Linked DNA regions of Stegostoma tigrinum. The main gene of each other region encodes a partner of the protein of the gene in region 4 in a complex. Links are inferred from orthologs where the notes say so. Each region holds a gene or a part of one and is shown on either strand. Other genes may lie near its edges. The genes, in order: tubgcp4, mzt1, tubgcp2 and tubgcp5.

Region 1 (7,413 bases), on a different chromosome or scaffold from region 4:
TAAATTAACAACATCTTGTGTCAATGTAACCTTTTTAACATAATAAATGTCCCAACTCATTTCACAGGAATGTCATCGTACAAAAACTAATATTAAACCAAAGCATATATGTTAGGCCGGTTTACCAAAAGCTTGGCCAAAGACATTAGCTTTAAAGACGTCATAAAAAAAGAAGGGGGAGTGAGAAGCTGCCGGCGGGTATTAAGTAAAATATTTATGCTTGAGCTGAATGTTGCACATTACCACTTAGACTAGTCAAAATTGTAGTGTCAAGTCACACCTTGAGAACTGTATTTAATTCATGCTTCTGAATAATATACAAGGTATATTATTCAAGCAGAAAGGAACCAGGTGAACCCAGAACACACAAATTCATTCTCAGGAAATGGCAACACTGGGAAAAGTGACATTTATTGCCTATTATCAGCTGTTTGAGAGAAAACGTCAGTGGGTCTTTCTGATAGGGTGATTATACAATCCAGAATATATTTATACAGATCCAGAAGTAAGCAGCCTAACTGACTTGATAGAGGTGTACAAAATGAAAAGAGGTATAGATAGGGTGAACATCCAGAGACCTTTTTCCTAGGGTGGAGGTAGTTATTACAAGGGCCATAGTTTTAAAGTGAGTGGAGGTAGATATAGGGGAGACGTCAGAGGGAGGTTCTTTACACAGAGAGTGCTAGGTGCGTAGAATGCATTGCCAGAGAGGGTAGTGGAGTCGGCTCAAGGGGCATTCAAGCAGCTACTAGATAGGCATATGGATGATAGCATAAGGTAGGAGTGGAAGTTAGATAGACTTTAGGTTTAGGGTAAAAGTTCAGCACAACATCGTGGGCCGAAGGGCCTGTACTGTTCTATGTTCTAACACATCCATACCACACAAGGCCACTCCTCTCAGACTCCATTTACTATGAATTAGTCCAATACCAGCATCCACAATATGACTCCACCTTCACTCACTCCTATTATTAAGGCATTTTATCTCCAGGGCCATTTCCTCTTCAAACCAAATTTCAGTGGGAACATTACAGTGCTGGAGTTGTGGGGAACAGAACACATGCACCAGCCACGACCACAAACCTTTGCAGAAGGATAGAACAGTAAAAGTTGATTTTTCTGTCTGGGTTGGAATTTTCTACTCTAGAGGTATGTCAATGCTTCATTGGTGAATGTATTCCAGACTGTGAGAGGATTCTTCAAATGCAGGAATACGGGGAGTCGGTAGAAAAGTGGAGTTGACACCAAAGAAAAGACACAATTATACCAAATGTCAGACACCGAGTAACCACATTGTCTGCTCAAGCTCCTGTTTCTTACATTATGATCTCTGCATTCTACTATTGAAACAGGAGACTGATATTCCTTCCATTTAACAGCAATCCACCCCACTGCATAGCTGTGGGTGTCACTGACTGGGCCAGTGTTAACTTAATCAGGATCCGGCAGCCACTATCATGAACTGTCCCAGCTGTTAAGGGCAAGGATATTCATTCGGGGAATGGCTTTGTGAATTGTCCAGAGGGAAAAGTGAGTGAAAACCAGTCACGCTAGGAAGCGAAAGTGCTGGACTTCCATTTTGAAGCAAACAAGACACACTGGACCAGTATAACAAAATGTGAGGCTGGATGAACACAGCAGGCCAAGCAGCATCTCAGGAGCACAAAAGCTGACGTTTCAGGCCTAGACCCTTCATCAGAGAGCTGATGAAGGGTCTAGGCCCGAAACGTCAGCCAGAGCTGATGAAGGGTCTAGGCCCGAAACGTCAGCTTTTGTGCTCCTGAGATGCTGCTTGGCCTGCTGTGTTCATCCAGCCTCAAATTTTGTTGTCTTGGATTCTCCAGCATCTGCAGTTCCCATTATCTCTGACACCGGACCAGTATGTTTCATTCACCATGTTCAGTGTTTTTCTTACCCTTCTTGATAGGTAGGCATTGCATGCCTGGGCCATACGGGTGCAGCACATCATCCAGTGATGAATGTGGGAGCTGGTCATCCCAGAAAACATATGCTTATACACATACCTTTTGAGTCCTGCCAGCCTGTATGGCCTGACTGAGGTGTAGAAAATTATGAGAGGCATAGTTAGGAAGAAACTCTTCCCCTTTAGTGGAGGGTTCAGTTACTAAGTGGCACAGATTTAAGGCAAGGGGTAGGAGATTTAGAGAGGATTTAAGGAAGTATTTTTCACCCAGAAGGTGGTGAATATTTGGAACCCACTGCCTTAAAGTGTGATAGAGGCAAGAACTGTCAAAGTGTATAAGAGCTATTTAGATGAGCACGCAAAACGCAAGTGCTGGAAAATGGGATCAGAATAGATGGAAAATAAACAAAAACAGAAGAAGTTGATCTGTCCTTGTTTTTGATCTGCAATATTTGTAGTTTTTTGCTTTATGTTAGAATAAACGGATGTTTGCTGACAGGCGGAAAGGTCTCTCGCTGTGCTGTTAAAAACTCCGATGACTAAGCGGTTCAGACAGAAATCCTGGAAACATAGCAGAACCAGAAACATGATGATCAGAGCAGTGGCTGGTTACTAGGTTAAAAACAATGTCTAACGGTATGGAGGAAAGCAGTAGATTGGCATAAGCTCCATTAATAGTGCAGGCTCAGTAGGCAGAATGACAACCTTCTGCGCCCTGATACTGCTATGTGCCATAGTTTATTCCTCTCTCTCACTCTCTGAATAAACGGAACTAGGTTCCGTTGTTTCCTTTGCTCGGGTTATCCATCGTGAGAAGGGCCCAGGCCTCTCGGTTACCATGGTGCTTGAAGCTCTGCCTCACCTGTAGGCCGCTGCGCTTGTTCCAACTGAAGATGCTGCCCGGATACCCGCTCAATGCCAGCAGCAACTCGTGGATCATCTCGCCGTTGTGGGCTCCGGTGACAAGTATCGCTCTCACGCTCCGATTCCTTTTGCTTTTTTGGTTTTAGAAACAACCGGCTTACTCGGACCACAGTACGGCACCTCCGGACGCAGCCATATTTGAGACTGGCAATAGACGGCTCGAAGTGATCGCGCAATTGCCCACCATGTTTATTCCTGGCAAGTTGCTCTGCTCGCCATTTCTGTTACTGGCACGAACCTAGTCAAATAGGCTGACGATGCCGCCATCTTTCATGCTGGCTTGTATGTTTGCATGTGACAGCCAATTTTGTCACGTGTGTGTGTCTACAAATATCAAAGTTTTAGCCACATTTCTTAATATTTGGTTCATGGGATCCAGTAGCACGGGCAACATCTATTGCCCATTTCTACTTGCCCTTTATGATGATACTTGTCCTTCTTGAACTGCATGGTTAAAAGTGGAAAGGATACAAATTGCTTCCATTTGCTTTGTATTCTTGAAAACTGAATTCTATGATGCCCAGATAGCAAAATGTGAGGCTGGATGAACACAGCAGGCCAAGCAGCATCTCAGGAGCACAAAAGCTGATGTTTCGGGCTGACCCTTCATCAGAGGTCTAGGCCTGAAACGTCAGCTTTTGTGCTCCTGAGATGCTTCTTGGCCTGCTGTGTTCATCCAGCCTCACATTTTGTTATCTTGGAATTCTCCAGCATCTGCAGTTCCCATTATCTCTGATACTATTTTAACCTCACTGCGAAGCCTCTTCTATGATGCCCAGTACGTTCATTTCCTGGTTTTGCTAATTTCCCTTCACTATTTTCCCCCTGTAATATTGGATAGATGGACCCACAGTCCCGTTAGGGAGGGATGCTGACACAGCAACACTGAAGGAAAAGCGATATATTTCCATTTCAGAGATAGTAGGAACTGCAAATGCTGGAGAATCTGAGATAACAAGGTGCAGAGCACATTTCTGAAGAAGGGTCTAGGCCCGAAACGTTCAGCTTTCCTGCTCCTCTGATGCTGCTTGGCCTGCTGTGTTCATCCAGCTCTGCACCTTGCTATCACATATTTCCATATCAGGATGGTTTGGAGGAGAACTTGCACTTTTTTGCAGATGGTGGTGTACCCATGTGTCTGATGACCTTGTCCTTCCAAATGCTAGAGGTTGCAGGTTTGGAATGTGTTGTTGAAGGAACTTTGGTGAGTTGCTGCAGTGCATGGGCTGATTTAAAGAAAAAAACCTTCCACGCAATCTGTGTAATTGGGCGTCAAAGTTTGTATATTTACTTAACAAACATCCAACACCCCTCAGTGTTCTAGAGAATCCAACAGCCATGATGATCAACACACACTATTATTCTTGTCATTATTGTAACAACAAATAAATAGGATGCTCTGATGAAGGGTCTAGGCCCGAAACATCAGCTTTTGTGCTCCTAAGATGCTGCTTTGCCTGTTGTGTTCATCCGACTCCACACTTTGTTATCTCGGATTCTCCAGCATCTGCAATTTCCATTATCTCTGATCACATTATACCTGGTTATAGTTCAACAGATTCATTTGAAATACCTTTCACCTGACAAAGGAGCAGCGCTCCAAAAGCTTGGGATTTCAAATAAACCTGTTGGACTATAACCTAGTGTCTTTTGACTTCTGACCTTGTCCAGTCCAACACCTGCACCTCCACATCATTACAATTATTGATATCAGATGACACACTGTGGACATCTGTTACTCTTTATTCATCAGAAATTCAAGTAGCCACATCTGAATTCTCAATTTCTACATGTGGAGGACAACAAATATATTGATGCACCAATCTATATTGACTTGGCTCATTTTCCACCGGGAAATATTGAAAATAGGTCGAGTGGAATTGTAAATGCATATTTTATTTTGTCATTTATATATTGAGGCAGGATTTGCAGCTTAATGGAGACATTTTCGCCTATCTCAACTTGCTGTAGTTCTCAGTAATGAAAAAGTGCCATGAACAGGATAGCTATGCTGTACTGAGCCACACAAATGAGGAACTGGGACAACTGTTGACCCAAAAACTGCATTCTCCATTAATATTGCACGTAAATTTCAACAGAAACAGACTATTTTGCCCATCTATCCATGCAAGAGTTCAATCTGCTCATGAGCTGTTCCCACTTCGACCCATAATCCTCCATTCCCCGAATCCCTAATGGATGCAAAATGTTGCTTTTAACACTAACGAAGCAGTTCAGTGTAGATTTGCTAGGCTAATACCCCCCAGAATGAGAGAATTCTCTGCTGAGGAAACGTCAGACAGGCCCATTCTGTTTTCAATGGAGTTTAGAAGATGCAACTTAATTGAAATATCAGAGATCATGAGGGGTCTTCACAGGGTGGATGTGGAGACGATATTTCCTCTTCTGAGAGAATCTAGAACTAGTGATCATTGTTGAAAAATCAGGCATTGTCCCTTTAAAACAGAAATAAGGTCAACAGTTTTCCCTAGAAGGGTCGTGAGTTTTGGAATTCTCTGTGAAAAAGTGCTGGAAACAGAGACCGAATATTCTTAAATCAGAGGTAGACAGATTCTTTTTAAGCAGAGGGGCTGTAAGGTTATCAGGGCTAGGCTGGAATGAGGATTTGAAGTTGCAATCAGATCAGCCATGAGCGGACTCAAGGAGCAGAATAGACTGCTCATCCTCCTTGTTCAGTTGTTTGTTCATAATCTCAAAATAATTCATGTGTAAAATGGAAAAGGTGCCACAAAACTAAAGATTGGGAATAAATAACAAAATGCTTGTTGAAGAAATGCAGGGTTTTGAGATGCTCCTAAAGGCAGAAGGAAGTGGTGAAAGAATTTTGAAGAGTCATACATAAGCAGTTGAAGATTCTTCGGCCAGTGTGAGAAAGAACTATTGGAGTCAAGGGGAACAAATTAGAGCCACATAGCGATGAACAGTATGGAACCAGACTCTTTGGTCCAACTCGACTATGCCAACCAGATATCCTAAATTAATCTAGTCCCATTTGCTGGCATTTGGCTTATGTCCCTCTAAACCCTTTCTATTCATATACCAATCCAGATGCCTTTTAAATGTCGTAATTGTACTCGCCTCCACCATTTCCCCTGGCAGCTCATTCCATACATGTACCGCCCTCCGTGTGAAAAATTACTCCTCATGTTCCTTTTAAATCTTAAACCTATGCCCTCCAGTTTTGGACTCCTCTACCCTGAGAAAAAGACCTTAACTATTCACCCTATCCATTTCATTCATGATTTTACAAACTTCTATAAGGTCACTCCTCAATCTCCAACACTCCAGGGAAAATAGCCCCAGCCTATTGAGTCACCATCTATAGCTGAAACCCTCCAAACCCAGCAACATCCTTGTAAATGTGATAATGGGAACTGCAGATCCTGGAGAATGCAAGATAATGTCTAGGCCCAAAACGTCAGCTTTTGTGCTCCCGAGATGCTGCTGGGCCTGCTGTGTTCATCCAGCCTCACATTTTATTATCTAACATCCTTGTAAATCTTTTCTGCACCCTTTCAAGTTTAACAAATCTTTCCAATAGCAGGGAGACCACAGTTGAAGGGGAAGGGCAGAGGACTGGAGGAAGGTGCAAAGGTACAACAGACTGAAGACAAGGAGCCATTTAAAGATTATTTTAAATTTTACATTCCTTAGGATGGGATGCCAATATAGGTCAGCAGATATTGGATGAGAAATAGATCTGTCTTAGTACTGGATAGGTTACACATTACAAAGGTATCAGTATGGATAAAGAAGCATATAATGGAAGAAGGTGACGGAAGGCCCAAGTCATTGTAAGATGGTTTAATATATTATACAGTTACTGTGATCTGCAGATAATTTATTCCATTGATTCAGAATTAGCATGCAGCTATACTGCAGCAAGACTTAGGCAACATCCAGGTTTGGGCTAATAAGTGACAAGTTACACATATACCATACAAGTATCAGGCAATGACCATCTCCAGAAAGAGAGAATCCAACCATCTCCTCCTGATGTTCAAAGGCATTACCATTGCTGTGTCCCCCACTTTTGAGTTACCATTAACAAGAAATGGAACTGAACCAGCCATATAAATATTGTGGCTGCAACAGAATGTCAGAATCTGGTGATTCTGAGACTTCCTGAATTGTCAAAGCCAGTCCACGATGTAAAGCACAGGCATGTAATACAATGCTGGCTACTTGCTTGGATGAGTGCACCTCCAACTACACCCCACAAACTCAACACCACCCAGGACCAAACAGCCAGCTTGACTGGCATCTCGTTCGCCACCTTAAGCATTCACTCCCTCCCCGGACACACAGTGGTAGCCATCTGTACCATCTACAAAATGCCCTGCAGTAACTCAGCAAGCCTCCCTCCCTCAATAGCACCTTCCACACTCATGACTTCTACCTATTAGAAGGACAAGGGCAGATATATAGTTCTTTTCCGGGTCACTCACTATCCTGACTTGGAAGCAGAGAAAGCTAGAGAAACTCAGCATGTTTGGCACGATCACTGGAGAGAAAAACACAGAGTTAATGTTCGGAATTCAGAT
Region 2 (7,448 bases), about 73 Mb from region 4:
TGAAACAGTGATGCTGGCTAGGGAACACAATGGTGTGATGAAATTGCGGGCCATCAGAAGCTGTCATGTTTTGTACACAAAACATAGGTGTTCGGCAAAGCGGTCGTCCAATTTGCATTTCATTTTTTTAGTGTAGAGGAGACCATATTGTGAGCACTGCATGCAATATACCAGATTGAGTAAAGTGCAGGAAAATTGCTGCTTCACTTGGAAGGTGTGGGTGGAGCCTTTGACAGTAGGGAGGAAAGAAGGAAATGGGCAGGTTTTACACCTCCTGCAATTGCATGGTAAGTTGCCACGTGAACAGAAGGTGGTGTTGGGAGTGGAGGAGAAGTGGTCCAAGGTGGCTAGGAGGGAACAGTCCTGGCAGAAAGCTGGCAAGGAAAGAGAGGAGAATGTTGGTGGCATGCTGCTAGAGGTGGAGGAAATGGTGTCTTATGATCCTTGGATGTGGGTGCTGTTGAGGTGGACGATGAGGACCACTGGGACCCTATTGGTTTTGGAGTAGTAAGGGAAGGGACGAGGGTTTAATTGCACAAGATGAGCTGGACACAGCTAAAGATCCTGTTGACCACAGCAGCGGGGAATTCTTGGTTGAAAACAACGTTGGAATAGACTCTTTACAGGAAGCACGTATGAGCAAGTATAGACCAAGAACTGTGAGAATTGATGAGTTTGTAATGCTTATCCCCAGAAATGGAAACAGATTTTGAAGATGGGGAGAGAAGAGCTGGAGGAGAAATTGATATCTTTCCAATTCTGGATGAGGGAAGCAGCATCAATAATGTCAATACACCAGAGAAGGAGTTGTGATAGGAGCCCCAAGAAGAGCTGGAACAAGAAATATTCTATCTACCCATAAGGAGATAGGCATTACTGGCATGCTGATACCTACGGCCACAGTTTCAATTTGAAGAAAATAAGAGGAGTTTAAGGGGCAGTTATTCAAAGTAAGGATGAGCTCGGAAGAGTAGGAAGTATACAGGGCAGTTCAGGCCTTCTTCCAGGAAGTAGTGGAGGGCCCCGAGATCATCCCATTGGTGGTTGGAGGTGTAATGGACTGCACGCCCATTGTGAGGAGCAGGAGTCACACAAGCTGGAAATTGGCAAAGCATAAGAAGAATCACAAATGTAAGTGGGAAGGACCTGGAGAGGAGAGGAAAAAACAGAAAATCAAATCGGGTTGGGACAAAAGAATTTGTGGGCCAGGATCACGCAGAAACAATGGTCTGCCCAGGCAGTCCTGTTTGCGGATTTTCTCTGTAGCATCTGTTCTGACGATGCCAGCTTCTGCAAGGGGCCACTGAAATGTCCACCTCTTTCTCAACTGAGGATTCCCTGCTACCATGGTTGACAGGGCCCTCAGCCACATCCAACCCATCCCCCGCACTTACGTCCTCACTCCTCCTCTTCCCACCCTAACACGGATAGGGTCTCTCTGGTCCTCACCTGCCACCACACCAGCATCACATTTAAAGGTTCATAAGCCACCATTTCCACCACCTCAAGTGTGATGCTGTCACCAGACACATTCCCCTTCTCTTACTTGTGAGTCTTCTACAGGCACCATTTCCTATGGTATAACTTGGTGCATGCTTCCTCCGTTCCCAATACATACCACATCCCTGTGGCACTTTCCCAGAAATGTGCAGAAGGTGTAAGAGATGCCAGTTTACTTCTTCACTTGTCACAATCGAAGGCACCAGACATCTTCCAGATTAAGCAGTGATTTACATCCGCTTCACTTACTCATCTACTGTATTTGCAGATCACAACCTGGTTTCCTCTACGCTGGGGAGTCAAAACGCAGATTGGGTGGCCATGTTGCAGAACACCTACGTTCTGCAAAAATGACAGCTCCAATTACCTGCAACTTCAACACACCACTGTGCTCCTTGGCTAACATTTATGTCTCAGGTTTGCTGCAGTGCTCCTGCAAAACTCTTTGAAGGGTCAATATGCACCCAATGGGCTGAATGGCTTGTAGAACCCCTGCAGTCTGGAAACAAGAGGCACAGTAAATTGTATGGGCCTATATTTTTGAACTTGCCTAGTCAAATTAGCTTGCTGTGTACTGTTCATGCTTAAATGGATTTGACAAGAAGCATAAAAATCTAAGAAATAGGAGTAGATCATTCTAAGGCCCACATTGCATTAATGAATAAAAGAGAAATTCTGCCTTTTGAGCCCAGTCTGCCATTTAATGAGGTCATGGCTTCTCCGTCATCACCAATTCCTACACAATCCCTGGATATTACTTTTAAAAGTGGAAAGCTATCCATCTCACTCTTGAAAATACTCAAGAACTAGGATTCTATACAGTTTTTTTTGTGGGTGGGGGGATGCTTGAGCGAGAATTGAACAGATTTGCTATCCTCCGCGAGAACAAGTCCCTCCTCATCTCACTCCCTGAAAGGTTGTCCCCTCATTCAGAGGCTGTGACTTCCGGGTTCTGGACATGGGTGTGCGGAGGGGCGTGCTATATCCACCCTGTCGAATCATATTCGCATGTCTGAACGGAGATCACCTCTTCTGGTCACCGAGGAACACAGGTATGAGCTGTCTACTGAAATCTTTTGCTCGTAGGGTACATCCTTCTCCATCCAGAAGGAAAGTAAAACAAAGTAGTGGAGATCCCAACCCGAAACATCAACTTTCCTGCTCCCTCTGATGCTGCCTGGCCTGTTGTGTTCCTCCAGCTCCACACTGGAGAAACTCAGAAGGTCTGGCTGCTCCTGTGGAGGGAAGGCAGCATTAACGTTTCGACATTCTTCCCCTCCCAGGAATTTGGAGTGATGAAGCCGCGATCAACTCCCTTTTAATGACATGGAGGATCGGTAGGAAGACAAGAACCGCCAACTTCAACACGAAATCACTCGGTTCTCTCTCACACTCACCGTCCATGGTCTCCCTCACCGCGTTCAGGTTAGCAGCGTTCGCCATTGCTCCACCTTTCACCCGGAACCACAGCCGCCCGGTCCCCGCCCATTACATCACCACATCTTTAAAAAAAACTAAACTAGTCACCGTAGCAAGCAGGAAACTGTGGTAATAAATCTTGTGAAATAACCGGTCGGCGTCCAACCGATGAAACGGGATCGACTTATTATCACTGTGAAGGTTTTCCTCTGGGTCAGCGGCCGTTTAGAATCTTGGCTGCCGTTTGAATCTGATTGGTTGATGCTGGCGCGCACCCGCCGATTGGTTGCCGTCTCACCGCCCAAGGAGACATTCCGATTGGCTAACGATAACTGAGACCGGTAATTGGCTATATCCCTTGCCAATGTTTGTGTTTCTTTGGCTGCCACCATCCAAACCAGGTGATTGGCTGGCTGCGTTCGCTGCGGTAGCCGCTGATTGGCCAGCGGCTGCGGGAGGGACATTCAAGGCAACGAACTCGGTGAGAGGAATATTGAAGGTAAGATCTACTTAAATATCACTTTAAAATAGAGAGAGAGACACTAGTGTCAAATAGTGTGTAAAACGGAGAGAAACTGGGATGGAATATCATCAATGTCTGGTAAAGCAGAGAGACTGGGGTGAAGTTTCATCAATATCATATAAAATGGAGAGAGATTGGTGTGAAATTTCATGTAAAACTAAGGGTGCCTCGGGTGGAATACCATCAATAAGTAAGAGAGACTGGGGTAAAATATAATCAGTTTCATATAAAACGGAACGAGACAAGGAAAATATCAATATCTTGTAAAACACGGGAATCGATAAAATGTTGTCGATATTATCTAAAACACGGATAGATTGGGTGATATATTATCAACATCATGTAAAATAGAGAGGAACTGAGGTGATATAATATCAATAACATTTAAAACAGACATACTGGGTGAAATATTGTAAACTGGAAAGTCTTGACTGAAAATATCACATAAAACAGAGGGTAGAGTGAAATATCAATATCATGTAAAATAGTGGCAGGTAAAATATCGTAAAATCTTTTAAAATAGAAAAATGGCTAAAGGATTGTTGATATCATGTTTTTGTTGATTCTTAGGAGACTTGAAAGGGTAAATGCAGACAGGTTGTTTATCATTCTGAGTGACTCTAGGAGCAGAGGGTTTAATTTCAGAATAGGGAGTCACCCATTTAAGTCAAGGATGTGGATGAATCACTTCTGAGAGTAGTGAATCGGTGGATTTTTTTTAAAATCTGGAGGGCTACACAGGCTGGGCTGTCAAGCACATTTTCTGTTTGTATACAAAGCATCTTAAGCATACATTTTAATATATAGTATATATGTGTTTAGTAGACTAAGTATATAAGGCTATGATAATCTGCAAGGGAATCTAGGGTTATGGGGAAAAGGCAGGAAAGTGGATTGATGATTATGAGCTTGATCTCATTGATTGAATCTCCTCCACGAATGAGCTGAGTGGCCTACTTTGCCTATATCTTATGCTCAAAAGCACGCTATGTGTCCTGCATCTCTCACACACGTGTTTCAAGAAAATGTTCATATTTAACTTCTCCAGGACAATTAGGGATGGACAATAAATGCTGGCCCAGTCAGCAATGCCCACATCCCGTGGATAAACATTTTAGAAAAATTAGTCGAGTTCTTGAATATATTACATAGCATGAAAAACTGCATTATTTATTGTATAAAATGTTTGCTCAGCTAGAAATTAATTCGTGTTCTTTATATGTGAAGAACCCAAATCTGCATAAAATAGTTCTTGGACAATGGATACAGCAGCTAAACGAATTATATGAAGAATGTCATTAGTTAATGTGACTCCACAGAAGCAAGATATGTAAGCAGATGTGCTGTGATACACTTGCTGATGTAGTGCAGTTATCATAATATGCTTAGGCTAATTAGTATATTAAAGATATCTGATTAGTAAGGAACTTTCTCAAACAAAATTAAGATTATTCTTTCAGCTTGTCTGGGTAAGGCAGGCTGAGGGTTGCAGAGGGGATAACCTAAATGATCATGGCAGCACAGTACACAAAGACACTCGATGGGAGTAAGAAAGAATGTAGTTGTGGTAGGACACAGGATTGTGAGGGAGATTAACAAAGTTTTCTGCAGCAAAAAAGCATGAGTCCAAACAGTTGTGTTGCCTGACAGCTGCCACAACGCGGGACACCTGCTTGGGGCTGGAGACGAACTTGCAATGGGAAGGGAAGGACCCAATTGCCATGGTCCACGTCAGTACCAGCGACATAGACAGAACAAAGAAGGAGGCTCTGCATTGTCAGTATGAGGAGCTGGGTGCAAATTTTAAGAAGCAGAACCTCAATATTCATAATCGCTGTGTTATACTTGAGTCACTTAAAAACTGCCATAAGGTAAATCAGACTTGACAATTGAATGTATAGCTGAAAGACGACTGTCGTGGCAGAAATGGGTTCCAGTTCATTGGTACTGACACCAGTTCTGGGAAAGTGGGATCTGGATAGATGGGCCGAAGCATTTCGAACATTTTCCAATTTTACTACTTCGTGTTGCAGAAGAGTCTTTTCAGACTTGAAATGTTAATCTTATTTCTCTCTCCATAGGTATTACCAGATCTACTGAGATTCTACAGCATTTCCGGTTGTTGTTTCCAGTTTCCAATATCTGCAGTATTTTGTTTTCATTAAAAGAGTAGGTGTGAGACATATGTGAAAATTTGACATTAAAAAACATATTGTTTACTTATTTCACAAAGATTCTTGTTTCCCCAATAATAGAAGTGGAAAGGTTCTACTTACTATAAGGAAGAGGAATGGGAGATTTGAAGAGTGAGACCAGGGTACATGTAACACCAGACACACCCGGGCGACCTCCTGTTTCAAATCCTTTTGAGAGCCCCAGTGATTATGCAACATTGCATGAACCAGTAGTCCCTAGTCCCTCTGTCTTCAAATTAGTGAAAACACCTGATTCACAGGTATGTTTGACACTCCTTAAAGAGAATTCTTTTCTCTCATATTGAATACAAAATATTGTAATTTAATTGATTTTGTGTGCTATAAAAATAGCAGTGTGGAATGTCAAGTTTTTTTTTAGGACAAAGGCGTTTTACCATATGAAAACTATATTTGAAAGAGTGATACCTGGTTGTATTAGCCATTAGAAAATTAAAGTTATATTAAAGAGATAGATCGAAGTTAGAGGAAATGCTTTAAAGCAAGGAAGATTCTGATTATCAAATTTTCGTTACATTTGTTTGGGATCACTTAGTCTGTGGTTAGTTTGAAAAGTGCCAGAAACAGTACATATTCTTCATTTTAGCCCATATCATAACATTGAGGCTAGCACTGAGGGAAGAGCTGTACTGGTGTTGACTTTCACTGCATTCCAACAGTGACTACAATTCAAAGTATGTTTCATTGGCACTTTGAAGTGTGCTGAGGTTTCAGAAACCAGCTATAAATGTAAATTATTTCTTACTTATGTTGGATGGCTTGAAAATATACTACTTTCCTTGCTTAGACACCTGGAAAATTCAGATGGTCCATTGGAGAGCTTGCCATCCTGCATCCTATTGAAATTGATCCAGAAGATGTTCACCAGCAATCTGCATACATGAGCTGCACCAGGTTACCAGTTTTCTTTACTATGACTTGCATACAATGCAGCCATTAGATCAGCATATATGTAATTAGATGCCCTTTCTCATTTACATGTATTAGAGTTTTGTTTGCCATTTTGATGGATAAGATGATGAGGCACTCTAGAGTCATTTTCTTGCTTGTGTTTCAATTCCAAGTGATTTGACAATATCAACATATCCTCAATGAATTCAGTATGTGATTAATGCTCCTTCAAAAGCAACTTCCAAATGCACACCCTCTCTCACCTAGAAAGACAAGGGGAGCAGATAATCGGAACACCAGCACCTACAAGTTCCCCTGCAGCCACCACCATCGTGACTTGAAACAATATCACCGTTCCTTCACTGTCTATGGGTCAAAAACCTGGATCTCCCTTCACAACAGTGCAGTGGGTCTCCCTACACGTTTAAGAAGGCAGCTCACCATCTGGACAACTAGGAATGGACAATAAATGTTGGCCTAGCCAGTAAAGCCCATAAATTACCCATAAGAACTATGAGCAGGAGTAGGCAACTCGGTCTGTCAAGCCTGTTCCACCACTTGATCATGGTTGATCTTATTTCAGCCTCAACTCCACTTTCCTGCCCACTCTCCATAATCCTTCAACTCATTACTAATGAAAAGTCCATCTCCTCCTTAAATTTACATGAATGTCCCAGCATCCACTGCACTCTAACAAATTTCACAGATTGATGACCCTTTAAAAGATGTAATTTCTCCTCATCTGTTTTAAATTTGCTATCCCTTAGCCTAAAACTGATCTCTTGTTATAGATTGCCACATGAGGAAACATGCTTTCTACGTTTACTTTGTCAATCCCCTTTTGCATCTTGTATCCTCTCGTACTTCTAAACTGCAGAGAATACAGGCCTGAACTGCTCAAT
Region 3 (7,305 bases), on a different chromosome or scaffold from region 4:
AAAGTAAAAGTTTAGGCCACCCATTTCATAGATTTACATCTAGCACATGTTATTCAATTACACTGAAATCAATTTTGCCTGAACAGGTCTAAAATTCTCTCCTGTCATTTACACAAAATAAAATTGTACATAAGCACAAAATAGAAAGGGCAACAAGTTGTCTATATATGCCAAGACTAACTTTGCACAAGATTACAAAACAAAACTACTTGCAGCTATGACAGGCAGCACTTTGCTTAAGGAATTGGCACCGAGTTGAAACTAAGAATGCTTAAATCAGACAACAATATACAGTAGGTTGGCTACAAACTTAGCAATTATGGCTGGGAACTCACCACATGCAAATAACAGCTTAAAGTCATTAGTAAATTGTAGGCCGTGAGCTTTCCCGAATCTCAGCAAGATACTACTTATTCTGGAACCACAAAATCCTCAACTACGGATCAATATTTGAGCACCAGCTTCTACAGTCCATATTTTAGTAGTTACAGGAGCAAGAACTTGAACATAAATAATCACTGATGTTTGAATTTAGTAACTTACCTCTGTCTACAAACATTTTCTCTAATAATGCTACAATCACTTAAGTTAATTAAGCGGCAGTGATATACATTAAGCAAGGAACAAAAGAAAAAGATCTAAAATCTTCTAATCTGGAAATTAATATTTGAAAATCCATAAACTGCAGTATAGTAATTATAAATGAAACAGGCTTGAAAATTAAGTTTACACAATTTGAGGTCATTCTCTGTTTCAATATCTAGTCTAGTAACTTCCAGCCTTGATATTCTCTACCTTTTCCATTCCTCCCCTTACACTCTTAAATTCCCTCTCTCCATCACTCTAAGCTCTTTAACTCTCCTTCTCAATTCTTGTATCAAGTTTCATCTCTCCTTCTTGATTTCACTGTTACTGGGATTGCAATAATGTCCCAAACTCAATGATCATGCATGTTGTGTTAACTGAACTCTTCATGATATAAAGCCTCACTGAAATTTCTTCTTCATTTTATGGTATCAATAATAACATCAATCCATTATGAATCCAACAATCAGGTAAAGTGTATTTTCTAATAAATGTTTTCAACATTTGCATAAATTCAAGGATAGAAAGCAATTTGCTGGAAAGGACTGATACAACTTGAGTTGCAGAAAACTGCTACAGATGCACTGCTTACAATAAGGCAAGGTCCCAACCTTACATACAGCATTTATTAAAGTAAAACATTCCTAAGCCTTTTACAAAAACATGTCCAAAAAATTCCTTTGACACCAAGACACAATGGGCAATTCAGGACAGATCAGGACACACTTTAAGAATAAGGGGTCTCCAACTTAAGACAACTATGAGGAGAAATGTTTTCTCTCAAAAGGTCATGTGTGCAATTCTCTTCGCCACAGAGTGGAGAAGTTGGGATCATTGAATATTTTTAAGGCTAAGTTAGAGAGATTCTTGACTGACAAATGAGTTAAGGTGAATCAGGGATTGGCATAAAAGTGGAGTTGAGGCTAATATTAATTCAGACATAATCTTGTCAAATAACAGAGCAGGCTTGAGGAACCTCATGATGTGCTTCTGAGTCATTGATTGGGAAAAGAAAATCCTGGTCCAAATAGTAGGTCTTAAGCCATGCTTTAGGAGAATCAGATAGGTGCAGCATTTAGGGAGGGCGGTTCAGTGGTTAGCACTGCTACTTCACAGCGCCAGGGGCCAGGGTTCAATTTCACCCTTAGGTCACTGTCTGTTTGGAGTTTGCACATTCTCCCTGTGTCTGCATGGGTTTCCTCCCATAGTCCAAAGATGCGCAGGGTAGGTGGATTGGCCATGCTAAATTAACCATAGTGTCCAGGTGGGTTAGATATGGGGAAATGGAGGGGTAGGGGAATGCGTCAGGGTGGGATGCTCTTTGGAGGGGAAGTGTGGACTTGTTGGGCTGAAAGGCCTGTTTCCACATTTGTAGGAATTCTTTAAAAATCATAGAGGTTAAGGCAAGAATAGTAAAGCAACCAAAACACAAGTGCAAGATGGTCGAATTGTCAGAGTGCAGAGATCATGAAAGCTTGTAATAAATAAAAGCAAAATTTTACGAATGCTGAAAATCGAAATGACAGCAAATGTTTGAGAAACTCAGTAGGTCTGAACGCTCAAAGATTTTATTTTTATTTTACATGTCCAGGTACCAGTGTATTTTGCTTTTGCGTACAAGAACTTCGTCTTTATTACTAAAGGTCTGAGGGGTCGGAAAGCGATTTAAAAACAAAGTTACAATTTTTTAAAATGGGGAAACCCGCATGAGGTGGGTGCGCACCTGATGCGATACAGTAATGCAATGACCTGTATTCGGAATATAAAAACATGAGGCCCTGTGGTTTCCCCCCGCTTCAGATATTAATACCCTCGGTTTGTGGAGGGATTGAGGTAAACTGTTTATTCCAATTCTACCCCAAGACTGAGCCTGCACGGGTTAGGGGCAATACAAGAGGCTGCGAGAGGAGGAGGTCGACCTAAGGCGCACATCGGGAGTTAAGAGCCTGGAAATGCCCCTTAGCTTTTTCAGTCAGGGCGGTTTGATTTTAGACCGGCAGCGGAAAGCTGGTCTCCCCGGATCAGGGCCCTTGCAGCAGCCCGGCCTGTTTACCAAAACAAACAGCCAGACCTGCTGGGGGAGATCGCGCTCATTTTTAAATATAACCCCTTCCCAACGCACACGGAGACAGAGGCCCAGGCCGCTCCTCCCGCTCTCTGCCCGGGGCCGAACCTCACCTTTCAGCTGCTCCACTCACATCAAACAGACAACAACATCCCCTCTCCTCCGAACAATTGCAACCGCGCCGCCACTTCCCCCTGGAAAACCCGAGGCTCCGCCGCTCTGTTCCACCTGAGTTTTGCACATAAAGAAAGAGGCAGGGAAGAGAGTAAGGAGGCAAGGAAGACGCTTGGAAGGGGCCTGATGTCGACGGGCGCTTGGACCCAGACGGAGACGTCAAGAAGGGACGCGCGCGGAGGCCAGATGACGGTTACTACGCACGCGCACTGAGGGGGCAACGCGGCGGCGGTTGCTGAGCATGCGCAGTGGTGAGTCCGCCGACTGGATGAGTGTACGCATAGTGGGTTGTCGGTCGGTTGTTGCTGATGAGAGGGGATCTGGACGCCTTGGTCTAGGCCAGGCTCGCTACTCTGGCCGGCGGTGGCGTTCGTTGAAGCCGGAGGGGATGGGGCGGCTGGCGAGTCAGAGCTGGGGCCGTCACCTTTTACTTTCAGGTCCAGGAGGATCTTCCTGCAGAAAGAGGACGAATTTTTCGAGGTTAGTGGCGGCACGTTAATTAAACTGAAACCTTGAGTCCTTGGGGCGGGGAGTGCAATGTTGGTGTCCATTCAGTTGCATTTAAACAGGTCAGGTCATTCCCTCGTTGCTGTATATATGTGTGTGTGAGACAGAGAGAGAACTTGCTGTGTGTAAGCTGATGGCCGTGTTTCCTTTATAAGTAAAAACTTGTATTTCTGTAGCGCCTTTTACGATTTCAGAGCATCCCAAAGTGTTTTGCAGCCATTGTAGTAGCTAATTAACGGAAAATCCCGCAAACAACAATGTGATAATAATCAAAGCGTTTGCAGATTTCCTTTCTGAGAGCTTTCTCTTGAACATCAGGTATGGTGAACGGCCCAAACAGTTGCATCTTTAGAATTGTGGAGAGGTTCACTAGAGGTTCACTACTTACTTAACTACTTACTTCGTGCAGGCGAACAGCCAAGTATTTAAAAAGTGATGGACATGAGATTTATCGATGTATTTGTTTTAACCACAATGTGCAGTTTATATTGAGCCCCCAGCACCTTCCAGTCAGCATTAATCAAATCGGCCAAACTGTTAAGGGTTTTCTGAAGGAAAGTCCCAACCCGAAACGTCAGTTTTCCTGCTCCGTAATGCAGCTAATTTGCATTGATGCCTAGCTGACGTTTAGGTAGCGACTAAAAGGATTGTCACACTGCAACAAGTATATTTCCTTACCCTTGGAACTAAATTACCTACATAATAAATGGAGTTGAAATTGACCTTGCTGTAAAGAAACTAAATTTCATGGACACCTTTAGCTGATGACTGCATTCACTTTGATCGTTAGAGATGGTGGTTTTGGTAATAAAGGAAATAAATTTAAATTATATTCTGACAATATGAGCGTATAGTAAAAGAAGCATTACTATGGGATGCCTTGTTGGATGATTTGCTGGCAGTCAAAACGTGGGAAGTATGTCCTTGGCTAGTCAGACATTGTGATAAGTTTCAATGGATGCTGATAGTGTAGAACCGTTGATAGCTTTGTGTCTTCTGATTATATTACCTCTAGTTTGGGTTTACTATCTCATCCAACAGTCCCACGGACTTGGCTTTTCAGTGCATTACTGTGTTTGCCCAGTGTTGATAATATTAGCTATTAGATGTATTGTTGCTTACCTTCCACTACAAGAAGGTTCTTTTATACCAATAAAAAATTGAAGTTTGTATGTAACTGATTAACTTTTAACTACTTCGCAAACCAATGATTTATTGAAAATAATTTAACCTATTGTTTTAGGATGGTGATGTCTGTAGACATTTATATCTGCAAAATTCTATAACAAATGTGGAAGAAGCAGAAAGACCCAAGTAAGTAAAGCTGTTTGCATTTGAGGATTGCCCCTTTACTAACTGGATTCCACCAAAGCCATTTTAATTGTCCGCTACTACTTTTCTGAAGAACTAACTTATGTATATTTATGTTTCCATTTTTTAAAAAAATATCTAGGGTTTCTGAATTCTGTTGCCAAATAGCAGGTTGTAGTCAACTGTTTGATGCCTTAGAAAACTACGAACATCATTATAATACATTTCACCGCAATGTCTGTTCCTCCTGCAAGCGCTCTTTTCCTTCCAGTCATCTGCTAGATATTCACATCCTGGAATGGCACGACTCATTTTTCCAAATTTTGGCAGCGAAACAGAACATGGTAAGTGATTATGAAACTCTAAATCCTGAGTTCTTCACTGGTGTGTGTTAAATCTGTCAATATTTGCTGTAATGTATAGAGTTGTCTGAACTCCATGCAGAACCGTGTGCACTTGTCTCTGTACAAAGGCAGGATGATCTAAGCAGGAATCTCAGTAACTTCTGCTGATGCAATACAGTGATGATGAACTGTCTTAAGAGGAACCATTTGGATACTGCCAACTCAGGGTACATTGTGACTGTTGAGTGGGAGAAAATGAGAGCAAACACTTTTTATTACTGTTACATCTTTTCAAATTAGCCAAGGCAAGATTATGGGAAAAGAATTGTATCAGAATCAAGCATTCAGAGGTGAGAGCTATTTAGGAGTCTTACTATTCTTCCCTAACATCAGAGATTGCATTTGTAATTGCCACCAGAGTCAAAGATTGTAGCAATTCCATTAGGAAACTAGGTTATTAATAGTATCCTTCATGTGAGATTAAATGAGGGAATAAAGTGAACAATAATGTTCCTGTGGCATTATTCACATCCTTATTGGCTCATATTCTATCAAAGAACCCTTGGCCCTGACTACTACCTTGACCTGCTGAAGAGGATTTTGGAGACATTTATATTTGTGAAATCTCTAGATCGTCTGCATGTAGCTAGAGTAACAAACTGTACTACACATCAACTTAGCAGATCTCCAATTCTTAAGGAGGGTCAGGAATAAGGCATGCTAGTACTCAATGCTTTTTCATATCTCTACTATGCAGAGTAGAGACAGTAGTGGTGGTAGGTTTACCTAAATCAATATAATTTATAAGGACCTTGGCTACCCTGGCTGCAACACAAATTATGACCAATGTACAAAAAAATTGCTGAACATCGAATGTAAGTAAGTCCATCTCTTGATTTTTTCAAACATGGGATATCAGCCTTTGATCCATACTTTGTGCAATGCAAACAAACATTGTTTTTAACTTGAAAAAACATTGTGAAAGCAACTTTAGTCAGTTAGCAATGTCAGCAACCCCTAGTCCTTACTGACTAGAGGGAGCACTTTTCTTTATTAGCATGATTTAAGGTCTGTCTAATCTGTGGTACCGAAAACCTTTCCACATGTGACACTTGGATTTTTTTTCTAATAATGAGATTGTTGTTCTTTTTCATACTGTAATGTTTCCCATGATGGTTGTCACCTACAGTATGATGGGTTCTCCTTTATTTTGTAATATCTTAGCATTGGCTTGTTGGTGATTTTCAAATGTGATTTTGTTGCCCTTAAGGGGAAAGCAATGACATAGTGGTAATATCTGTAGACTACTCATCCAGAACCCTAGGCTAATGTTATGGGGACATGGATTCGAATCCAGCCATGGTGCCTGATCAGATTTGAATTCAATAAAATTCTGGAGTGAAAAGCCAGCCTCATGGCAACTTATGAGACTATTGTCGATTGTTGTAAAAATTGATATGCTTCACTAATGCCCTTTTTAGGGGACAAAATCTGCCATCCTTCCCAGGCCTGGTCCAGGTTTGACTCCAGACCCACAGGAATGTGTTTGATGCTTAACTGTCCTCTGGGCTATTAAGGATGGGCAGTAACTGCTGGTTTAGCCTACGATGTCCACATCCCATGATCAAATTTTTTAAAAATAAAAATGGTATCTCGATTAATATACATCATTTCTGATAGTCCTTCAGTTATGCACTAAAGTGTCAACCTAGATTATGTGCTCAAGTCTATAATAAGCACTTGACCTTCTGATCATTTCTGCCAAAGCTTTCTTTATGTAATCAGTATTTTCATGGTAATTAGGCATGTAATAAGTAAGGAAATAAAACTACTTTGTCAGTTAAAATAAGGGATTCATACAGCGAAAGGACAGATTCTGCACAGAAGTTAATCGATTAAGTCAAGGACCCTGTCCCCAGTTGCGCCAGGGTGGGAATGGAAAGAGTGTCTCATGACCATGAATGTCTATGGATTATACAGTGTTTAATATATTAGTGCTGCCATTCTGCACCAATAGTGGGAGGGAGGCCCAGGATATGCCAGGAGGCAAAGTTGGCTATAATCTTCTACCTTTAAGAATGCAAATGAAATGTCCAATCAGGTCACTGACGTCTGTTAGATTGATTTCCTTTCCTGGAGAAGCTTTTGAGAATTTATATGGGCATACTGAGCAGATTTCCTACGGTTGTGTGGGAAGTCATGACCCCCCCCCCCCCCCCCACCAATGCCCAAACTAGGATTTATATGCCACAATCCACAGGGCAGTATGAAATTTGTCTCCAAAATTCGTGCCATCTTACATCATCATAATGGATTTCT
Region 4 (7,807 bases):
AATATCAACAAAGACAGAATTCCCCTTGTCCTCACATATCACCCCATCAACCTCCGGATTCAACATGTCATTTTCCGCCACGTGCAATCTGACCCCACTACCAAGGATATATTTCCCTCCCCACCCTTAACTGCCTTCTGGAAGGACCACTCTCTTCACCACTCCATTGTCTGCTCCACACTCCTCACTAGCCCCACCACCCCTGGCACCTTTCCCTGCAAACGCAGGAGGTGCTACACATGCCCCTACACCTCCCACCTCACCTCCAACCCAGGCCCCAAGAAAACCTTACACATTAAACAGACGTTCACCTGCATATCTGTTAATGTGGTATCTCGTATCCGCTCTTCCCGATGTGGCCTCCTTTACATCAGGAAAACCAAGCAGAGGCTTGGAGACCGCTTTGTGGACCACTTACGCTCGGTTTGTGACAATGAACAACACTTCCCAGTTGCGAACCACTTCAACCCCTGCTCCCGCTCCCTGGACGACATGTCCATCCCAGGGCCTTGACCGATACCACAATGATGCCACCCAAAGGCTGGAGCAACAGCACCCCTGGGAACCCTGCAACATAATGGTCTCGATGTGGACTTTACAAGCTCAAAATCTCCCCTCCCCCAACCTCATTCCAAGACCAGCCCCCCTCATCCCTGTCTCCTTGACCTCTCCATCTTTTCTCCCACCTATCTGCTCCTCCCATCTCACTGACCAACCCCCACCCCCACTTCCTACCTACCAGCCCCAATCCCGCCTCCTTGACCTGTCTGTCTTCTCTCTACCTATATGCTCCTTTATCCACCGTCTATCATCGTCTCCCCCTCTGTCTATTAATTTCAGAGCCACCTTCCCCTCCCCCATTTCCGAAGATGGGTCCAGACCCGAGACGTCAGCTTTCCTGCTCCTCTGATGCTGCTTGCCCTGCTGTGTTCGTCCAGCTCCACACCTTGTTATTTTTGTGCCTTTAGGGAGAGGTGGGGGCCATAGGGGTGGAATGATTTATTTTGTTTCCTGTTCTTGCAGCTTCAGTATTCAGGAGATTGGACTAATAAAATTTCCTTGAGCGCCCCAAACATTGTCCTCACATTTGTGTGCATCCGCACTAAACTGTGCAAAGATCATTAGTACACAAACATCAAGTGTTAACACATGCTAAGGTTCTATTATCCCAGATATTACAAAAGATGCGTAGATAACAGATCATGTCAGATGGTTCCCTGAGCAGGCTGCTCAAATCATTTTGTGAAATGCCTCATCATCAGACATGATAAATAAGCATAAAATGTAGTTTGGCTGACAGTGAAAACCCACCTTCCTCTTAAATCCTGCCTACATGTCTGGAGATTTACCCTAAGAAGCTCTCTAATACAGGACTGTTCCCAGGGACCTACACAATATTTAACTCTATCAACTCTTTGGTCTGTCCAAAACTTGCTAATCTTCCAGTGTGGGGTGTTGTCCTCAACTAGATGTTGCAAACACAAGAGTGAGGATCACACTACAGTTTGGGGCAATTGCTGCAGAGGTGCAATGGGAGCGATTGCTGCCTTGGACTTATCAGTTATATTCTAATCTCCAGGTCTTTTTTTCTCTTTACATTTTATACCCTACACTACTGCCTTAAAGCAGTAGTGTTTACATTTCCCCACAGCAGCTGTGTTGCATGCATGTGTGCAAGTGCAGGAGTCAGTAAAAATACAACATGGAAGATAATTTTATTCAATATTTTCCACGACCAGGAAGAACACACATGTAGCCAGTGCACCAATAACAAGCAAAGCGTGGAACAAGCAATCCTTATGACAAAAAAAGCGAGGCGGAGGGTAAGGACCAAAATCAAAAGAGTTAGTTAGAGGACAAAATAAAGCATTCCACCCCATGGCACGCACCTCTCCCTAGAGGCATCAAGAATGTTGGTAGACATGGCATGCTTCCTCTCTTCCTCACCCAGGCTCAAATGTAACCACAGCAGAGGGGCAGGCAGCTGGCTGTAATGACCTCCTCTGCCTGCAATTTGTCAGTTATATTACATTGAGAGTCTAGAAACTGTGCACTCCAATCCGTATCCCTTATAAAGAATGTCTGTTGTAAATCAAACACTATTGGAAATGAACATAGAACATTACAGCACATTTCAGGCCCTTCGACCCTCGATGTTGTGCCGACCTGTCATACTGATCTCAAGCCCATCTAACCTACACTATTCCATGTACATCCATGTGCTTATCCAAATGTATTAAAGCAACTCGGTATAGATCATAAAGTGTGAAGCTGGATGAACACAGCAGGCAAAGCAGCATCTCAGGAGCACAAAAACTGACATTTTGAACTGAGACCCATCAGAGAGGGGGATGGGGAGAAGGTTCTGAAATAAAGAGAGAGAGGGGGAGGCGGACCGAAGATGGATAGAGGAGAAGATAGGTGGAGAGGAGAGTATAGGTGGGGAGGGGATAGGTCAGTTCGGGGAGGATGGACAGGTCAATGAGGCAGGATGAGGTTGGTAGGTGGGAAATGGAGGTGTGGCTTGAGGTGGCAGGAGGGGATAGGTGAGAGGAGGAACAGGTTAGGGAGGCAGGGACAAGCTGGGCTGGTTTTGCGACGCAGTGGGGGGAGGGGACGAACTGGGCTGGTTTTGGGATGCAGTGGGGCAGGGGGAGATTTTGAAGCTTGTGAAGTCCACATTGATACCATTGGGCTGCAGCTCCTCCCTAACTAGCCTAACTCCTCTCACCTATCCCCTCCTGCCACCTCAAGCTTGATACACTTTGAGCAGTTGTCGATTATATATGAACACGAAAGCAGAAACACTAGAAAAGAGGTCTTAAAGCAAATACAAATGCTGATAATGGATAATAGCTACGTTGGTCTCCATTAATGCAAGTAGGTTTCAATTCCAAGTTTGTTTTTAAATCAACTTGCTCAAGGGAATGTCTGAGGCAGGCGTGACTTGAACACTGCCATTCAACCCCAGAGGTAGGGACACTATCACTGGACCACAAGAGCTCTTTCAAGGTAACAAAGTGTGGACCTGGATGAACACAGCAGGCCAAGCAGCATCTTAGGAGCACAAAAGCTGACGTTTCGGGCCTAGAGCCTTCATCAGAAAAGGGGGATGGGGAGAGGGTTCTGAAATAAATAGGAAGAGAGGGGCAGGCGGATCGAAGATGAATAGAGGAGAAGACAGGTGGAGAGGAGAATATAGGTAGGGAGGTAGGAAGCGTTAGGTCAGTCCGGGGAGGATGGACAGGTCAAGGGGCAGGATGAGGTTAGTAGGTAGGAAATGGAGGTGCGGCTTGAGGTGGGAGGAGGGGATAGGTGAGAGGAAGAACAGGTTAGGGAGGCAGGGCGGACCAAAGCACCTCCCCACTCTCCCTATTTATTTCAGAACCCTCTCCCCATCCCCCTTTTCTGATGAAGGGTCAAGGCCTGAAACATCAGCTTTTCTGCTCCTAAGATGTTGCTTAGCCTGCTGTGTTCATCCAGCTCCACACTTTGTTATCTTGGATTCTCCAGCATCTGCAGTTCCCATTAGCACTTTCAAGGTTTTGTCTTCTTGTTCAGAGATACTATTACACACCTCTGCAGTAAGCGGGACTGGAACCAAAGTGTCCTGGCTTAGAAGTAGGGGCCTATGCCTATGGCACAACAGCCCTAGATGTCTTTATTTTTAAAATTTTTTTCAAAATAACTTTTCTTTCCCCTAATCAATCTGTTTAGACATTATTATACACCTCTGGAGCAGCTGGTACTTGAACCTGGGCCTATTGCTCCAGGCATAGGGATTCTACCTCTGCACCCCAAGAGGGTTCCCTGCCATGGCTTTTTAAAGATGATTTAACCTAAGCTTCCTAAACAGCCTGTTCAAAAATGCTATTACACATCTCTGCAGCTGGTTCAACTTGAACAGAGGCCTCCTGGCCAAGAAGTAGGGACACGAGCACTGTGTCACAAGAGCCTTGATGTCTTTTTTTAAACCATCATTACATCACCATGTTACAAATTAAAACAATCGACATGCAACACCAATCTCATTTTTAAAATGAATTACTTCAGCTTTCAGATGAGAGCCCTCTTGTGGCAAAATGGTAGTGTCCTAACCACTGGTCCAGGACACCCAGTTTCAAGGCCCACCTGCTCCAAAGGTGTGTAATAATGTGTCTGAACAGGTTGAGTAGGAAAAATAGGCTACTTTTTTTTTAAACAAAGCAAGTCAGAGGACCCTCTTGTCGCAGTGTCCATAACTCTGCACCACAGAGGATCAACTTCAAGTTCCATCTGCATAAGTTTAAAAAAAACAAAACATCCACTAGGACTCTTGTGGCATAGTTATAATGTCCCCACCTTCGAAGCAGGAGACCTTTCTTCATGGTCCACCCGTTCCACAGAGATGCAATAACATCCCTGAACAGACTGATTTTAAAAAAATACGTTAAATAAGAAAAATAACAACAGATCATTAACCTGTGCTCTGGTCCATTGTCACTACGCCAGCCCGTTCTTTAAATAAACAAGTCACCATAATTCGGAATATCATTCAGACCACCACCGACGTGCAATAAAATTTAAAAAATGAACATTTAAGCACGCAAGTATGTTATCGCCTGCAGGCCTCTTAAACAGAGGAGACTGCAGCATCTACAACACGGAACCGATCTCAACACCCACAACCTACCACCCCAGAGGTACCCCGCAGGATCTAGACGGCGAATCCACTTGAAATGACGTTAAAATTCGAAATTAAACTACCACTTCACCAGGTCCGCGAGCGTCCCAACGAGCTGACCCGACAGTGGTTCCGGGGGAAGAGTCACTTCCGGCGGTGGCTGTAAGCAGAATGTGCGGGTGATTTGTTTGGAAAGGAGCCGTTCACGCCTTTTTAATTTATCGACATGGCGCATTGGAATAAGTTCGAGAAGGATTTGAAGAAGTTGATACAGTACATTAGCGGGGTCCCGGAGGAGGACCCTGATTTCCAGTTGGCGCTGCAGTTCACGTGGTCTAACGTCAGGTAACCGAAGCCTCATAACATTGAGGTAACAAAGTGGGAAGCTGGATGAACACAGCAGGCCAAGCGGCGTCGCTCCTAAGATGCTGCTGTGTTCATCCAGCTCCACACTTTGTTATCTCTGATTCTCCAGCATCTGCGGTTCCCATTATCCCTCATAACATTGAGGGTTCGTTTTAGTTTGGAAAATGTGCATTCAGTAGATGTTATAACAATAACTTGTGTGCCTTTAAATAAATAATGTGATCCTCATCCCACGCAGTTTATTGGACTGGAAACGTTAGCTCTTTTTCCCCGATGCTGCCAGATCTGCTGAGTTTCTGCAGACCTTTCTGTTTGTGTTTCAGATGCTTGGGATGGACAACTTTTGACGCCATTTGAGCCACATATGGCCGGGGTGTGGGGACGTGGGGCCAGACAGTCAATAGCTTGAACAAAGTAAATAGCGTTTAGGAGATAGTAGGAACTGCCGATGCTGGACAATCTGAGATAACAAGGTTTAGAGCTGGATGAACACAGCACGCCGAGCAGGAAAGCTGATGTTTCGGGCCTGGACCCTTCTTCAGAAATGGGGGAGGGGAAGGGGTTTCTGAAATAAATAGAGAGGGAGGGGCAGGCGGATGGAAGGTGGATAAAGGAGCAATTAGGTGAAGAGGAGACGGACAGGTTAAGGAGGCGGGGATGGAGCCAGTAAAGGTTATTGTAGGTGGGGAGGGGGAGTTAGGATGGGGGTTGGTCAGTCAAGGGAAGACTGACAGGTCAAGGAGGCGGGGATGAGGCTGGTACATAGCGGGTGGGGTTTGAGGTGGGAGGACCGGATAGGTAAGGGAAAAGACGGACAGGTCAGGCAGGCAGGGATGAAAGGGGGATAAGGGGGTCGGGTCGGGTCGGGTCGGATGGGGGAAATGCCCCTGGTAGTGGGGTCAGATTGCAGTTGGTGGAAGTGGCGGAGGATCCAACGCATCATTTTCCGCCACTTCCGTCTATCCCTACCACCTATTCACTGCTCCCATCTCAACCTCCACCTCCTATCTCCCAGCCTCCTTGACCTGTCCATCTTCCCTTCCCTACATTGGAGGCTGCAAGCAGACATAACTGTGATCAAATTATTCTGTGTTCTGCTTTTTGCATATTTTTGATGGTCAATTTAGATTCTGAAAAATTAGGAACAGCATGACTCTTCAACTTGGCTAAAGTATAGTAGTTAGAACCATGTAAATGTGACAAAAATGATCTTTTATTTTAAAAGAATAATTAATTCTGCTAGTAGAAAGAAACATTTGTGAATATTCCACCACCAATAGATCGTTGCTAGCTTTGTAAGAAGTAATATTGTATAACTGGTTTGTCTGTTTTATTCTATTTCTATTTCCTGTTGCATGATATTTGGCTTCGACTTTTTAATTCTTTCAGATTCCATCGATTTCTTGACGTTGACAGTCAGAAAATAACACGTGTGATTGATGGGTGAGGTTCTTCATACACTTATATGTGGTCCTTATTGTACAGAAGTAATGAAATGTTGTCAACTGACTTAACTTTTGTTTTTCAGAATCCACGAAAAACTGATTATTCATTCAGAACTCCCGAAAGCTGTAAGCTGGCGGAGGTTAACGGATGAATTTCTGGATTTGCCCCTTGAGACTGTCGAAGGAACAAAGGTTTTCATCTCAGTCTTGTTAAATCGAACTGAACTTCACTGTTTCTACAATTTTGTGTAATCTTAAGAATTGATCAATGTATTCATATTTGTTTTTAAAAAAAATTGTTTGTACTTTCAGAGATAACGAGAACTGCAGATGCTGGAGAATCCAAGATAACAAAGTGTGTAGCTGGATGAACACAGCAGGCCAAGCAGCATCAGAGAGGATGCTCTCTGTTGAAGGGTCTAGGCCCGAAACGTCAGCTTTTGTGCTCCTGAGATGCTGCTTGGCGTTGCTTGTACTTTCACATTGTTTTCACTCTCAAACTTCTTCTGAATTCATTTACGCCATGCTCAAATGATATTTCATGAAAGCTGTATACCCTCTAAAATCTCAGCAAATAATGATTTAAAAACAAATCAGCTCGGGCTTTTCAAAATTTAGAATGTTACAAACATGTGAGCTATTATTGTGTGAGGAATCACATGGAATCCAGGGAGAGCTAGCTATTTGGAAACAGGATTTGCATGAAGGTAGGAGTCAAAGGGTGGTGATCTTTCAAACTGGAAGCTTGTGATCAGTGGTGTGCTGCAGGATCAGTGCTGAGTCCACTGCTTTTGTTATTTATCTAAATGATTTGGCAGTGAACATAGGAGGTATAGTTGGTAAGTTTGCAGATGACACCAAAATTGGTGTAGTGGATGGTGAGGCAGGTTAACTTAGAGTGAAGTGGGACATTAATCAGATGGGCCAATGGGCTGAGGATTGGCAGATGAAGTTTAATTTAGACCTTGTGGTGCAGGTTCGTAGTGAAGAAGGCGTTTGGTAAGCTTGCCTTTATTGGTCAGTGCATTGAGTATAGAGGTTGGGATGTCATGTTGCAGCTGTACAGGACATTGTTCAGGTCTCTTTTAGAATACTGCATTCAATTCTGGTCTCCCTGCTGTAGGAAAATTTGTTTTAAACTTGAAAGGATTCAGCAAAGATTTACAAAAATGTTGCTGGGGTTGGAGGGTTTGAGCCAAAAGGAGAGACCGAATAGGTTGGGCTATTTTTCCTGCAGCGTTGGAAATGAGGGATGACCTTAAAGAGGCTTATAAAATCATGAGAGGCATGGATAGGGGGAATAGTCAAGGTCCTTTTTCCAGGTTAGGGGAGT

The links.
Region 1: the proteins of tubgcp5 (region 4) and tubgcp4 are in contact, whole or in part, in a cryo-EM structure (PDB 9I8M), measured with the Xenopus laevis proteins. The link is inferred for Stegostoma tigrinum from reciprocal best matches to the Homo sapiens genes TUBGCP5 and TUBGCP4. Residues at the interface, in XP_018102626.1 of Xenopus laevis: His233, Leu234, His235, Leu238, Ile241, Trp242, His245, His300, Met301, Thr302, Asn304, Cys305, Ser308, Val309, Gln312, Ala392, Ile393, Leu395, Asp396, Lys397, Arg410, Leu441, Asp442, Tyr443, Asp444, Asn445, Val446, Gly447, Glu448, Ala449; in XP_018110859.1 of Xenopus laevis: Met1, Ile2, His3, Glu4, Leu7, Tyr12, Pro13, Gly14, Ser15, Ile16, Gln29, Pro32, Phe33, Glu60, Thr63, Gly64, Ile84, Arg87, Ala88, Arg91, Arg101, Leu105, Gln109, Leu112, Pro115, His116, Leu117, Val178, Gly181, Val182.
Region 2: the proteins of tubgcp5 (region 4) and mzt1 are in contact, whole or in part, in a crystal structure (PDB 6L81), measured with the Homo sapiens proteins. The link is inferred for Stegostoma tigrinum from reciprocal best matches to the Homo sapiens genes TUBGCP5 and MZT1. Residues at the interface, in NP_443135.3 of Homo sapiens: Gln14, Gln15, Asp18, Val19, Glu21, Leu22, Val23, Val26, Ala27, Gly28, Asn36, Ala40, Phe43, Ala44, Asn47, Phe48, Arg52, Phe53, Leu54, Phe72, Lys80, Ser83, Trp84, Leu87, Thr88, Glu90, Phe91, Ala106, Ser109, Ile110; in NP_001065243.1 of Homo sapiens: Glu23, Val27, Leu28, Glu30, Ile31, Ser32, Ile34, Leu35, Asn36, Thr37, Leu39, Leu44, Ile46, Cys47, Val48, Arg49, Leu50, Cys51, Glu52, Gln53, Ile55, Asn56, Pro57, Glu58, Ala59, Leu60, Ser61, Ser62, Val63, Ile64.
Region 3: tubgcp5 (region 4) and tubgcp2 share a complex: the UniProt entries of both Homo sapiens proteins name them as parts of the gamma-tubulin ring complex. The link is inferred for Stegostoma tigrinum from reciprocal best matches to the Homo sapiens genes TUBGCP5 and TUBGCP2.

The regions. Positions count from the first base shown.
Region 1 is NC_081389.1:21,469,128-21,476,540, reverse strand, and holds the start of tubgcp4 (gamma-tubulin complex component 4), read right to left. Parts: upstream 3,017-7,413; 5' UTR 2,865-3,016; coding exon 2,787-2,864; intron 1-2,786. UniProt on the Homo sapiens protein: Component of the gamma-tubulin ring complex (gTuRC) which mediates microtubule nucleation.
Region 2 is NC_081359.1:25,382,796-25,390,243, forward strand, and holds the start of mzt1 (mitotic-spindle organizing protein 1), read right to left. Parts: upstream 3,020-7,448; 5' UTR 2,944-3,019; coding exon 2,898-2,943; exon of another isoform or gene 2,784-2,897; intron 2,553-2,783; exon of another isoform or gene 2,498-2,552; intron 1-2,497. Other genes in the region: bora (protein aurora borealis), read left to right, coding at 5,733-5,897, 6,443-6,549. UniProt on the Homo sapiens protein: Required for the recruitment and the assembly of the gamma-tubulin ring complex (gTuRC) at the centrosome.
Region 3 is NC_081390.1:12,448,302-12,455,606, reverse strand, and holds the start of tubgcp2 (gamma-tubulin complex component 2), read right to left. Parts: upstream 3,017-7,305; 5' UTR 2,764-3,016; intron 1-2,763. Other genes in the region: znf511 (zinc finger protein 511), read left to right, coding at 3,066-3,075, 3,138-3,304, 4,575-4,645, 4,785-4,986. UniProt on the Homo sapiens protein: Component of the gamma-tubulin ring complex (gTuRC) which mediates microtubule nucleation.
Region 4 is NC_081359.1:97,918,532-97,926,338, reverse strand, and holds the start of tubgcp5 (gamma-tubulin complex component 5), read left to right. Parts: upstream 1-4,789; 5' UTR 4,790-4,889; coding exon 4,890-5,008; intron 5,009-6,418; coding exon 6,419-6,472; intron 6,473-6,557; coding exon 6,558-6,666; intron 6,667-7,807. UniProt on the Homo sapiens protein: Component of the gamma-tubulin ring complex (gTuRC) which mediates microtubule nucleation.